Drosophila melanogaster: one gene and its partner. The protein of the gene in region 1 purifies or fractionates together with the protein of each later gene. This does not show direct contact. Each region holds a gene or a part of one and is shown on either strand. Other genes may lie near its edges.

Region 1 (6,793 bases):
CACACACACACCAACATTCACATCGTAGACTGTCGCAGCTGGTGTCGAAGTGTCGCAAATCACGATTTTCGATTCGGGCTTTGCGGGATCTCGGGCATGCTGCCTTTACGCCCCATAAGACGTGCCACCCATTGGGCAACCGGAATCCAAAATCGTAACACCAATCCACACCGACTGCGGCAACTAATGAATTCTTCAGCTGCGGTCAAAATATCAGGCGATTGTTTATGTCAACAAAAAGGAAATTATATTGTAACTAACTTTCAAAATTTTTAAAAAGATCTATACGAAACTACAAACCTTAATGCTCATTTTACTTTGAACATATTTATTGTAGCTTGTATATCTTGTTTAATTTCTTCATTCATGTTAAAAAGTTTACTTTTTATTTTTTTTTTTTTTATTGAAAATTGTAATATTCTTTTAAATACCCGCCCCAATGGCGATCGCAGCTGGAAATCCATATGCAGTAGAGCAGAATTGAGTAAGGAATATTTAGCAATTGACAATCTAGAGATTTTATAGCAAATGAGCCGAGCATGAAGGCCGATGAAGCGTTTGCTATCCCCCCTAAACCATTCACTATGAACCGAAACTTAAAGAAATAAAAAAAAAAACAAAACTCTGAAAACCCGATAATCAATAAGAAATTCAAAGTAAAACCAAAACGATTTGGTTAATTTTCGCAATTTGCTATATAGAAACAAAAAAAAAGCTTCAAAGTGAAATTGTAGTTGAAGGATTTAAGCGGGAAGGCGGAATAAGTTAAGTGTCACCGAGGAGAGTGCTATCTATCGATCTAGACGGACTAAATGCTAAATGGTGAAAGAAATTGATGATGATGAATTAGTAGAAAGTTAATACTGACGAGGGCTAAAATGCAGAAAATGGCTAGCCAAGTGTCACAGCTGTTCGGAGAACAACCGGGTCCAAGCCAAAACTATGGATATCCAGAATATCCACTAAAAAACACAAGGATACACCACACACACACATAGACACAGAGAAACAGGATAACACTAAATGGAAACACTTACTGCATGATGTGTACATAGGAACAACATAGATGCTATATATATATGCGAGTATATATAAAAACATATATATATATATAGACATACATATATAGTATATATTTTTTTCGAATTGTTTAAGTGCAACTTTTGAACAAAATATGGAAAAATGAAACGCAAGTCTTATGAAATCCTAGCAAGTAAGGCAAACCAAAATTGTAAAGGTCAAGATACAGAAATGGATGGAGGAACGATATACCTAAAAACAATGCCTAACTGTACGATAGTAAGCATACTATATACACATATATATATACATATATTGATAAAGTAATAAAGCGGCATAAATGTGTAAAAGTAATCTATTTATTTACACCGACAACCCTGTAAATACACAAATTCTGTGCAATTTTCTATCGACTCCCGCAAAACCCCGCGTTTTAATTCAATCCTCGCCCAAATCGAAACTTTGAACAGACAACGACTTTGGATTCTCCCTTCCACCTGGATATACACTATATATACATACATATATATATACATACATACATTTAATTATTAACTTACGCAAGTCTGAAAGTATTTCTATCGAAGAGTTCTAAACTGCTTAACTGTAAAGTGTACATACATATACCGAATTACAAACACTCACAGATCCTATAAACTATATTTATAGATGTAAGAAAAAGCACACTATTGATAACCATCCCCATCACTGTATGTATATGCCTATTTAATATATATATATATATATATATATATATCTACTTTTTTTGAATTAGTCACTAAGCATAGACAACATGAATTACTAAGTACGATATGCACTGCAAGCACTGAGGAATTTGATTCAATTTTACTTAAGACAAACGAAAAGAGAAATTGAAATAGCATTTAGCAAACCTAACGGAAAATCAAAAAAAAAAAAACAGAATTAAATAAGAGAATCTCCAATTTCTGGGATAATAATTACAAATTTAATATTAATTTTTCGAGCTACATCGGATGAGAAATACCGACGAAAAAAAAAAACTGTATTCGCTTGTGGCAATTGTGTGGGAAAGTCGAGAACGTTTAGCATCTGGATTGGCTATGCAGCATTCGTATGTTATATACTTAGAAACCCGAAAACCACAGATACACACACACACCCACGAATATTAAATAGATGTACAATAGTTATATAGACTCATTCGCATCGATCCTTTAAGCCATAGTCTATCCTGTTAAGCTCTCAAACAAAATTGTAATTTTCGGAACCGCAAAAAACGAACCCCAAACGCTCAGCTACGAGTTTCTGTTTAAAATCCAAGTGCAACTTTCAAAGAATTGTAAAAAAAAAAAAAATATCAATAACACTTTACGCTAGCGAATCCCAACAATATTTGGACAAACGATCGAAATCATCCACAAAATTGCTTATAATATGAATTTTCTGACTCTCTCCTAAGGGAAAATAAAAATTTTTTTTGGTATTTCAAACTCAACAACATTGCGTTTTTCTTTTATGGCATAGTTTTGGGCTTTCTCACCTACAAGTAAAGTCAAATTCAGATGAGTCACGGCTTGTAAGGTAACTAAATAAGTTATTAGAATATTGTAATCACAGCATTTAGACGGAAATCGAAATAAGTCATAAGGGTAAGTTCGAAAGATGCAAATTTATGCATCTGCATTCCATAACTTTGAAGTCATCGTAAGCCAAGCTTAAACGAGCTTTAAAACGTACACAAAGCTTGTCCAATTGGCTGCAACTTTTTTTTAACAATAAATAAATTTTTAAAAATTAAATCTTTTTATCTAAAATTGTCTGAATGTCAGCTGACTTCAATCAGTTGAATATATGTTCTTTATGCATTTTCATTTCATATTTTTCTTTATCATATTCTATTCACCGAGTGGAAGATTTCCCTGCAGGTTTGTTGTTTTTTTTTTTAGCCACATAAGTCAGTAAATCAGCCCACTGTACCCACTGTGCCGCTCCACAAAGAGCGTTCAGCGTTGAGCGGAGAGCGTTTAGAAAGCGCCAGCGACCGGCGATTGCAATTGCCACCGCTCACGGAGAGCGGCGAGCGGCGTTTGCGATTGCGATTGCCATTGGGATTGGGATTTGTTGTAGCGTGGATCGCGGAGTCGGAGTCAAAAGCTAAAAGCCAGATTCAGTTGGCGGCGCAGACTCGACTCGTTTAGTTCGCCGTTTCGTAGAAGAGCGACGAGAGCGCATGCGGCTTTTCCAGCGCGGTTTTTCCACCAAAACTTCGGCGACCTGTGTACTATTATTTATATTTTTATTACATTTTTTTTTATTGTTTTTTCTTTCTACCTGCGAACGCTTTGCTCGCCTTGAACTGGAGTGCTTCGTTTTTGAGTAGTGCATCTCTGCCTTTTGCTGGCGAGTGCTACAATTGTCGCACGTAATCGTGCTGGCAGTTACGCCTCAGAAAGCAGCCAAAAAAAAAAGAAAAAAAAACGCAGATACAAGATACAAAAGTATCTCGAACACATGCGTTACGCTCAGCTGACTCGTCGTGTGTGTGAGTGTATCGTAGTGTCGTTGTGTGTGTGTGCTAACAAATTGGTTAGATAAATTAAACAAAAACTGTGAAATTCGCGAATCAAAAAAAAAAAAAAAACAAAAGTAAAATAAAAGTTACACAAACGAAATACGCGAAGGAAAAGCGACGAGCTGAAACTGAAAGCAAACAATCAGCCGGGCTGACCAGTAGTAAATGCTTTAAACTTCAATTATAAAATTTAAATTGAAAAAAATAAAAAAAACACATATAGTTCACAATACCGCATCATAATATCCTACCCGCATCCTAACCCCCGCCGCTGGCCAAAATATGTCACAATTCCGCGATAATTCATGGGTGAGTTGCGATCGAGTTCAGTTCGGTTTGGCTTGAGATTTGGCACTAATTACCGACTAACTACTGCACACGTATCCACAGTGATACTCGCACTCTATCCTGCACTCAAAACTAATCCAAATTGCACAATTATCCAACACAATTTCTCTCCCTATCCTCATTTGTCCATTGCCCAACGCCCCCTCTCGACATCTTCTTAATTGGTCCAAATCGTTAATTAACCTGTGTGGCCATCTGTAAACCGATTGGCCAATTGGCACCATGCATCTCTCGGCCTGACCCGATTTTTTTAAATTTCGCAGCTCGCCAAGTGCCGATCCATCGATTGGTGGAATTGCACTGGCAATCAAAGTTGATAATTAGGGGAATTTTGACGATTTCTTCAATCATTTTGATGTTTAGTATTTGAGATACATTCACTAGTTCTTTGATGGCTTATTACCTTAAACTGCTTTTGAACTTTAAGAAAGTTACAAATATTCGTTTTAACTTACTATAACTTTATAAGTTTAATGAACAGAAAATATAGAACTTTCCACATTTATAGACAAGCAATTATAATATCATTTTCGATATAAAAAACATTATTATTAGGGGTGTTTTTTTTCGAGTGCATTTGCATTTGTGCCGACTGGCAATTGACTTGGAACTGAGAATTTTGACAGCTTCCGAAGCTTCGCATGCAGCGAATTACCTTGGCTTTATCAGCGGAATAACGGTGTCGAGGTCACTCGAAATAACCTAATCAAATTGGTTGGTTTTTTTAAATTTTAATTTTTTATTTTTTTTTAATAGGAGTGCGTCGTTCGCTTTGGCGAACGAAAGTCGAACAGTTTTTGAATAAATTAGTGCGATGCAAAACACGCAGGTTAAGCGGGTCAAACGGCAATGTTGATAGGCATGGGATGAAATTTATAGATCGACTTATTCGAAGTGCTGTGCAACCCGTTTATCTCGAACGATTTATCTGCGAAATATCTGGCCAAGATGGTAAAAAAAAAAAACAAAAAAAACTACTGCGGCAAGTGGTATTGCAAGATATGCAAAATTGTGGTTAAGTAAAGTAGTAAATTATCAATACTTTGTATTTAGAGATATGAATTCACTACTTAAGATACTTTTTTTTCGATTTAGTTTCTCTATATGTTTGCTGACTTTCGAATTAAGCCGCAATTGCTTTGCATTTTTTTTATCTCTACTTGTGTCAAAGAGAAAAACACACACACCTACATTTACCGAGAAATTTCCCAACTTAATTTCTACATGCTATCTAGATCAAACATCATTTCCACACCTCGAGCGCCCTTTTTCTACAGCAATTGCATGATTTGAAGGTCGACGGAGCTTTCTTTTGTTTCTTTTGGAGTTAAAAAAAAAAAAAAACCGGTGAAACAAACAGTTAGGATTGCACTCAGCGAAAAGAGTTATCTAAATCCATAACTTGTTGATAAGAAGATAGTGGTTGTATTGTAGTAAAAAATAATCATATAAAAACTTGGTACATTTAGGCATGGTGAACTTTTGCACCACAGCAATTTCGCGTAGAATCGCATTCTTTTTTTTTAGAAGCCTTTGTTTCGCTTCGCTGTATTTTTGTTGTTTATGAATGTGAATGCGTTATCGTCGTATCTGCGTAACTGTAATCGCATTATGATCCATTAAAATGCGCCAGCTTTTTTGGCAGTTTTTTTTTTTGTGATAAGGTCTGCGGACACCCACCACCTAAGGCGCTCCCTCGTCTGGCAGCAAAAAAATGAAAATAAAAAATATCATAAAACCAATCAAAATCCAGTAAAATAAGAGAAAAACCAGTTGGCCTGGCCCAAGTCGATTGCGCAAATGTCGTGACTGACGTCGCGCCAACGATTATCATCTTCTTCTGGCTAAGATTGAGATTCGGACTGGGATTGGGATTGGGATTTGGGACTTGGGATGCTGCACCTGCACATCCAAAGTCTGGCGGCTGAAGTCTGCTTCCTGGTGGCAGCTTCAAGTTCAATTACGGCAGATTGTCGTGAAGGCATTGGCCATGGATTCACAACCATATCGATATACACAACCACAACCATATTCACATCCACATCCACATCCACATGTCCATGTTGGTCATCAGCAACTTTCACTCACCGGCTAAATGACGATGACGATGTGTGCCTCCTGCACATTTTGTCATCGTTTTTCATGTGGGAAAATCTCTCGCCTCTGCAAAAGATCCAAAGAAAAAAAGACCTAAACGATGGGGAAGTCGTGTGGAGGCTCGCTTTTATTTTTCCTTCTTTTTTATTCATGGAAGCTGCGCTTTTGGGCAGACATTGCAAAATAATTTCCACAACAAGTTGGGAAGGCCGTCGACGACAATGAACTTTTAATTACCCCAAAGACTCGTTTCGCAAAAAAAATAAAAACACATGGAGAAAAGTAAAGGGGGAGCACAAACCTCATTCAAATGAGGTTTGCGGAAGAAAAAGAAAAGAAATTTTCAAAGGAGGAAAAGTTACTTAGCTCTCCGTGATCATATGCAATTTAATGCCTGCCCAATTTGCTGCGGAACAATCGGGTCTTTGTTTTTTTATGAGCAAAACCCTCCATTTCCCCAGCAGCAGATTAGATTTCAATTGAAGATTTGCAGATTGGCTTCCCTCGTTGATTTTCGTGGGATTGCCAGCCGAAAACTGGCTAGCCAAATTATGAATAAGTGTGCTGTAAATACGATTTCTGGCTAATACCAAAGCGGATTACAGTGCAATGATTCGATTTTTGCCGGCAATTGCAAATTTTTGTTGTACTTTCTGTGCCTTTTATGCCTTCGGGCCAATTTTTCCAACCAACATTTTACATATGCATAGGCCGGTAAATAGTAAAACCACAAAAAAAAACGCATTTAATATAAAATGTTGGAAAAAGTGGTCA
Region 2 (8,167 bases), on another chromosome or scaffold:
TTTTATTGATATATGTATATGCATGTATTTATTTTACATATTAGATGCAGTCAGTTATTTTATAAATCAATGAATTTTGAGATATTTAATATTAAAACCATTGGTTAAGTTAATTTTAATTTAATTGTAATATAAATTTATCGTGTCATTCTTACAACTAGATTTTATTCCTATACTTTTAAGTGCAACATCCCATGCCGCGAATATCTCTAACGAGTTGACGCCACGCATGATTATGCCACGCCTTGTAAAGTGAAATTGCCATGCAAATAAACCCCTGGCCTGGTGGCTTAAGCCCGTCGGGGAAAGAAGGTTGGGGGGGGGGGGGCGGATGGTGTCGAAGTGGCAGCTGCAACAGGAGCAATAGATGGTAAAAACTGTGGCGACCTCTAACGATGCGATGCGCACAGGAAACAACAAACATGTAATTCAATTGATTGCCACCGGCGGCGACAACCGCAAACAAGCAAACATTGCAGCATCGAGCAGAAAAGTGCAGAGGCAATTCAATTGAACTTAGCGAAATGCATTTGAATTCAATTGATGTCGAGTTTGCCACAATCAACAGGTGGGTTAGGCACTTAGGGCTCATCGTTGTTATGATTACGACGGCTCTGTTTGCTTGGAGTTGGAATGGAGCCAAAGTGCTGAAAGGCCCCAAAGTTTGATGTTTTTTTTTAAGGATAAAAAATATAGTTTTAGGGATTAGAGGAGAGGCTCTCAAATGTCAAAGCATCAGAACATGTCGGCTGAACTTTAAACGAACAGTGGGCATGAGCAGTTTGCTTAAAAAACCAGGATATTATTAAAGTGAAAGTCATTACTACTTGCTACTTTTAAATTTTATTGTTTGTATTATTCTCCCATTTTAATTAAAGCGCTTTTAAACTACAATTATTTTTGACAAGAATTTTCTTTTACCTCGAAATTTGCCATTTTATCCCACCGTGCGCACTGCGGCCAACTAATTCCAGCAAAGTTTGCTGCTGCAAAATTAACAGTGTGCAAATGTGGCGAACTTCCGGTTCTCGAGCTACCTGGTAACGGCTCGTCAAGCCACGTCCTGGCAGGACATGAGGAAGCCAGGACATTGGGCTGACAGGCGGCAGTTGGACAATGGAATAGCACTAGGAAAACTCAACTCCCACCGCTGCCTTAATGCGGATAAGCTGTTAACTTGGCCGTGTCTGTTGTCTAATTGTCTATGTAGGACACTCTCTGTCCCAGAACGTGCGTGTGTGTGTGTGTGTGCCTCGGGGTGTGTGTGCATCCCAAAGGACACTTTAAACTGCCGACAGGCGTGCGAGATTAAAGACGTGCCAAGTCGTCCTACGTCTAGATTTACATTTTGGCCAACACATTGTTTGCTCGGCCTTTGGTTTGCGTGTGTGTGTGTGTGGGTGTGAGCCTTTTTTCGTGGTTGGGTAATATGGGCCCATTAGCCCAGTTGTAAGCAAGGACTACGCAATGTGAACCAACAACAGGCGGACGGAATCAGAGAGGCCCAGCCGAAATGTATGAAATTAATAATAAAACAACATGAAAAACTCACTTTTCGGCCAATTGCCCGCGGCTGCATTTCCATGTCACCCTATTTTGCATGCGAAAAGGAGGCCAGAGTTCAGGCCAAAGCAAATACACACACTTAATGCATAAAAAATGAGGCGTGACCATAATTTGAAATCGACTCCTTTTCTTTTCTACCAGCAGCTGCAGCCCAATTTCGAATTTCCACCGGCATGCGTGTGGATTTTAAATAAATTTACATTAATTTTTTAGGAAAACGACTTCGACATGCTCTAGAGGCACGGAATATTGAACAGCAAACAATGGATGCAAAAAGGGATAGCATCAATAGTAGTAGGTTAAAAGTCAAGGATTATTTGATGTAACGCCCGTCTAAAAGGGCTTAAACAAATGGTTTGTTTCATAAGAACACTTATTTTTTGGCTATAAGTCGGTTAAATCTATAGAAATAATAATGTGGTGGTTAATAAGAAAACTAACGCTTCAGTTTTGACCAATAATGCACCTCTAATTGTGTTGTTTCTGATTCATTATGAATTCATTAAAATATTGTATACATAAGCTTCTACTTCTTTAGTTATTTCTTTGTTCCATAGTTTAGCACAAATGTTGCTCAACAATGTTGCCGCTGCGCTGCAATTGCGCTGGCCTCATGTTGCCAGCCGCGTCTTCGTTCTGTTCTGCACTTAATCGCGGTTTCTGGTCACCGCACGATCAGTTTGAATTTGGATTTCAAGCGGAACAGTTGGCGCACTTTCCACCTAGTAATTGCAACCATCGCGATCGTATTCTGTGTTTTTATATCGTCTGTGCTCTAAATCAACACTAAAAAGTCAAACACTTCTTTCACTGCGTGTAGCTGCAATCGGCGAGGTAAGTGTCATATGAATAATTGGAGATCGTTTGGATGGCTTTTTTTTTCGAAACAAAAGCTGGACTTATTTCGAAAGAAAAAAGCGACGATCGCCAACTTTCTCGTCTAATTGCCAGTAAAGTTAAGCGGAACACGCAGTGGGAATCCAGCTTTGTAAAGTCGGTGGTAACTGGCATGCAAAATAATCTATTTAGGTCAGATGCCTAAAATTTACGTTGCGTTCTCGTTCCGATTTTCCCTTGGGTACCTACTGTATATATTCGAATTTCGTAGCTTAGGCACCCATATACGGGAAGTTTTTTGATGGAGGTGTATTTATTACAGGTTAATTTAGAGATCATTTGGTTAGCGGGGAGCACTTGCCTTATCGGTTTAAGAGTCATTCCATTCAGTGATAAGAGATACGGAATCACAGCGTGTAAATCACCGTCGGATGTAAGCATTTGTGTATATTTAATATTCAACTTAATTCAATTAAAATGTTTATTTCATGTCAATAAGGCATGACTTAATTACATTGAGTATTTGTCTTAGCCAAGCAATGAAGATTTCCTAAAGTAATGGAAATGTTATATCCATTAGATGTAGAGCAATTTTGAGTTCATTGGGGCAAACATTAAATAAAATAACCTCCTGACGAAATTAGTCAATTATAGCACTTTAAAATGCCTAAATGAATCGTAATATGAATTTATAAAAAACTTTCCAAGCAGCAAACATTTATAAACTGTTGACGGACAAGCATCAGAGGATAATGAATCACAAAAATGATTTTTAATAAGCATAATGATGCTGAAACAACATTTCATAGTTTAGCGTAATCAAAATAATCCACATCGGGAATAAAAAATTAAAATAGAACACAAACACACGTAGCATTCGTTTGTCAAATCGCATAAAATGAAGAAAGTGAAGAGCAAACAAATGGTGCCGATAAGAATGAATTCATAACAGAGTGTCCGAATACAGAAATAACAATTCATTATTATTGTGGAACAGCTGCTGTGGAAATGAAAAAAAAAAAAAAACAAATTGTATATGAAACACTACTCTGCGCGAAGAAGCCAGATTAAATAATTGACTTAGGCTGAGCTTGCATTAATTAATGAGACCCGAAGGGAATGCAACAGCAGACCAAACAGAGCTCCAGCCAAGAAGTTCAGGGGCGGTTTGAGTAAATGGAATTAATTTCAAACAATTCATAAGCAAAACAAACAAAAGATTTTATCGTTTTGTTGTCACTAAGCAATTGAGCCGTGAACTTCAATTGAAACATTTCAACTGAAACGAGACACGCTTTGCACTGCGATGAACTCAACTGGGCTGATTTAGATTGATTCACTAGGAAGCGGAACGGACTGGGTCTTCAGACTATCCGGAAGATAAACGTTGGCCAGAGAAAACAGAATACTTAAAGGAATTTGTTGAGTTATTCGAGAATCTATTAAAGAATGCACACAATACGCTTTCTTTAAATGGCATAAAACATTTATGTATGGTGGCGTACATAAATCATATTTAATCATTTTGCTGCGTATCTTTTTGTTACTTTCAATTACTTTTACAGTTACAATTACTGTATAGCTTTGGCAGCGCTTTTTATCAGGAATAAAATGATTACTTTTTTGTACTAACGAAGCTAGTGTGTAAGAGTAATCAAAGTAAATAGATGTGAATTATTATCTATATCGCTTTAATGATAAATATAATGAAATTTTTTTCCCAGTATCTTAATTGATATATTATCTTTCCTACTGCAATCCTTTAGAATGAAGTTCAGTGTGGTGGTCCTGGTGGCCCTACTACCGCTGCTAGGAGCTGTTTCAGCGAATCGCACTTTTGTGGTGGACTACGAAAAGGATCAGTTCCTAAAGGATGGAGAACCATTCCGATTCATTGCCGGCTCCTTCCACTACTTCCGTGCTCATCCAGCCACCTGGCAAAGGCATCTTAGGACCATGAGAGCTGCGGGTCTGAATGCGGTGACAACGTGAGTCACTACTATGATTTTAATGGTTCGATTGTCATGTTTCCATTAACTACAAGCTATGTGGAGTGGTCATTGCACAATCCGCGGGATGGCGTTTATGTGTGGAGCGGCATTGCCGATCTGGAACACTTTATACGCCTGGCCGTGGGCGAGGATCTGCTGGTCATCCTCCGTCCGGGTCCGTATATTTGTGCGGAGCGTGACATGGGCGGCTTTCCCTACTGGCTGCTGAATAAGTATCCGGGCATTCAGCTCCGGACAGCAGATGTCAGTAAGTATTGATACTCCTTTTGTTAACTTTTAAGATTACTTATGTTTTACTGCTTAATTCCAAAAATGTGGCAGATTATCTTAGCGAAATTCGCATTTGGTATACCCAACTGTTTGCCAAAATGAATAAATATCTGTATGGCAATGGTGGGCCAATTATAATGGTTCAGGTGGAGAACGAATATGGCTCCTTCTATGCCTGCGATCTCAACTATCGGAATTGGCTACGCGATGAGACCGAGAGTCATGTCAAAGGTCAGGCGGTGCTCTTCACCAACGATGGACCCAGTGTGCTGCGCTGTGGAAAAATCCAGGGCGTCCTAGCGACCATGGACTTTGGAGCAACGAACGATCTCAAGCCCATTTGGGCCAAGTTTAGAAGGTACCAGCCAAAGGGTCCGCTGGTCAATGCGGAATACTATCCCGGTTGGCTAACTCACTGGACGGAGCCGATGGCCAATGTTAGCACCCAATCGATTACTTCCACTTTTATGTAAGTTTCCAATTTGGTTTGGGCATTGATTATTATGTGTTATTTAAAGAATTAATATATATTTATATATAATATCGTATATATAACCTTGCCTTGGCTTCCAGAAACATGCTGGATCATGGTGCCAGTGTGAACTTCTACATGTTCTACGGCGGCACCAACTTCGGATTCACAGCTGGTGCCAATGACATTGGACCCGGAAACTACATGGCTGACATTACCAGCTACGACTACGATGCACCCATGACGGAGGCGGGGGATCCCACTCCCAAATACCAGGCCCTGCGACGCATCATTGGCCGCTATCTCCCGCTGCCAAATCAACCCGTGCCCGGACCCGTACCCAAGCGATCCTACGGAACTGTGCGTCTGACCACCTGCTGTAGTCTGCTTTCGTCGGAGGCTCGATCTCGTCTCTCCACTGGATTTGTGCAGTCCGCCAAGCCGAAGAGCTTCGAGGCTTTGGGACAGTACTCTGGTTTGGTGCTCTACGAGACCTGGTTGCCCAGCTTCCAGCGGGATCCGAGCATCCTTAGCGTTCCCGGACTGGCGGATCGAGGTTACGTTTATGTGGATGGTGAGTTCGTGGGTATTCTGGCCAGGGAAACCCCCGTGTTCGAATTGCCACTCAGTGCAAGTGCCGGGCGGAGGTTCCAGATTATCGTAGAGAACCAGGGTCGCATCAACTACGGTCGACAGTTGAACGATTTTAAGGGCATCCTGCGGGATGTTCGACTGGACAAGCAGGTGCTGAGCAACTGGAACATGACCCAATTCCCACTCGAATCGTACGACAACCTGGAGCAGCTGATTACCCAGTCGGATGAGGCAGTTCGTCAGGGCTTCCAGGAGCTAAAGAAGTTGCGCACAATGCTGCGCACTGGTCCCGCCATTTACCACGGTCAACTGGACATCCAAAAGGAATCTGATCTGGCGGACACCTATCTGGACATGTCCGGCTGGGGCAAGGGCATTGTCTTTGTGAATGGCGAAAATCTCGGCAGGTATTGGCCCCTGGTGGGACCTCAAGTCACCCTGTATGTTCCGGCCGCCGTGCTCAAGGCGGGCTCAAATCGACTGGTGGTGGTGGAGTATCAGCAGACACCCGCCTCACAGGAGCTGCACTTCCGAGATACCCCCATTCTGAACGCGAGGACCGTTTAGTCGTCGGCCTAAGGACCATTGCGACTTGCATCCATCGCTGTAGCCATAAATCATGCATCATCATCCGTATATGTAGATCTAAATGTAAATTTATGCGGTTTAAGTTCTTTGCAAGACATTAAAGCAACTCCGAGACGGACGCGTCCTGTCTGCCTCGTTATCCCTTTTGTAAAAGACTCATTAAAGCTGTTGTGGCATGCGGGGATGGATTTACAGGCCTGCCATGTGTGACCTTTGTGCCTGGGCCAAATTAATCCCTAATGATTGAAATTGAAATCCACAGAAACGCTCTGATGATGAGTCAAAGTAAGTCAAAGGCGAGTCGGAAAATGAGTCGCGTCTTGGTTCGTTGATTTTTTAGGTTCCCAAAAGTTTTCTATGACAATCCCACTCCATTCTTTTCCGCTGGCATTCGGTGTTTTTTAAGAACATGTTAGATTACCGCTGTTGTTTTTGAAATGTGTACATGTCGTGGAATTTTGCGATATTTTTGGATGAAGTTTTCCAATGAACTGACCCAAAATATATTTTGTTCATAGAAACTTAGGCGTGTCAAGTTGTTAGGATTTTTAAACTTTCTTATGCACAGATGTTCTAAATAGTGCTGGTTATTTTTTCGCATTCTGTATTATTTTCCCTATTAATATTTATGCTAAATTAACGAACTAATAGTTTCATTGCCCTTCAGGTCTCCCAAACTGTCCTCGAACTGTAATAAAATATTTACCCAAATTGTGTACCTGTGTACCTCTACGTTGACATTTCACGGAGTGCTCCCGGGCCGGAGAATCACTCCCTACTTGACCATCTCTTGTTGCCGTAATGAGTGAGGCAGCTACAGTTAATTAGTCCTGACTCGCACACATACACATTCACATGCAGTGGCTTACGTTTTAAAGGATCTTTCTTTTAGGCGCAGCTGCAGCTCAAGTATTTGTGTTTTTTTTTGCTGGCTACACATGCTGTAATTGCTCTGTTCTCGTTGTCCAAGTTGACATAAAACAAGTTAAGACCCAGGGGCAGTTTTAAAGCGCCGCCTCATGTCACCCGTGGCCACCCAGCCAGTCCAGTGGCTTTTTGGGAGAGTGCTTCCCTAATGGGATGGCGTTGCGTGCTGCCACCGGATGTGTGCCATCGCCATCCCAATCCCGGAATCTGATGCCCTGCATTGATGTTGCTTTTTATTAGCTCTGCCCGCTGGCTGTCAATTGATGATGGCCATCCTCCATAAACAATGTTTCAGCTTCCGCCGGACCCAAATATGTAAAAACAAAATGAACTTGACTGCGAAAGTCCTTAAGAACTTGGTCAACTTTTTTTTTATATCACGCAAACGTTAGAAGGATCTTGTCAGTTAATCAGACCAATTAACACATTATTGCGAGTGTTTTTTAGTTTCTAATATTCCATTAAAAACTCTATAGACTGCAGTCTTAATGTGCGAAATTTGTCAGCATTAAGTGAAAACGTCTTGTTTTCTCTCCTTTAAATTGGCTGAATGCCACCCAAGAAGTTTTATGGTCAGACTGAACAAATGTGCTGTCATAAAAACTTGTTGATTATATTAAGCAGACCCCAGAGATCAAATGGGATATAAAATCTGATAACAAATCTCAAACATTACTCTTAACATGCCGAAGCATAAAAGTTTGAATGTGTTGTGTTTTTTTTAGCTAATTTTTGACAAATGCATTATTATGACAAAGGCAATTTGTTTTAAAGCCATCATTTCTTTGAAAAGCTTTTCTTAAATAGAATTTCTGAAAACTACTTTTAAAAATACCATAGTTGGTAGCTTCGAACCTACTTTATATTTAAAGATACAAGTTATCTTTGATCGCGCCAAAAA

Evidence for each region. Proteins that work in one complex are often made in the same cells at the same time.
Region 2: the proteins of Nost (region 1) and Ect3 purify together in Drosophila melanogaster (affinity purification with mass spectrometry, with the first as the bait; one large-scale study listed by BioGRID). This does not show direct contact.

The regions. Positions count from the first base shown.
Region 1 is NC_004354.4:9,027,014-9,033,806, forward strand, and holds the start of Nost (nostrin), read left to right. Parts: upstream 1-3,191; 5' UTR 3,192-3,856; coding exon 3,857-3,883; intron 3,884-6,793.
Region 2 is NT_033777.3:11,997,040-12,005,206, forward strand, and holds Ect3 (Ectoderm-expressed 3), read left to right. Parts: upstream 1-2,238; 5' UTR 2,239-2,400; intron 2,401-4,169; 5' UTR 4,170-4,170; coding exon 4,171-4,391; intron 4,392-4,447; coding exon 4,448-4,662; intron 4,663-4,736; coding exon 4,737-5,154; intron 5,155-5,258; coding exon 5,259-6,318; 3' UTR 6,319-6,477; downstream 6,478-8,167.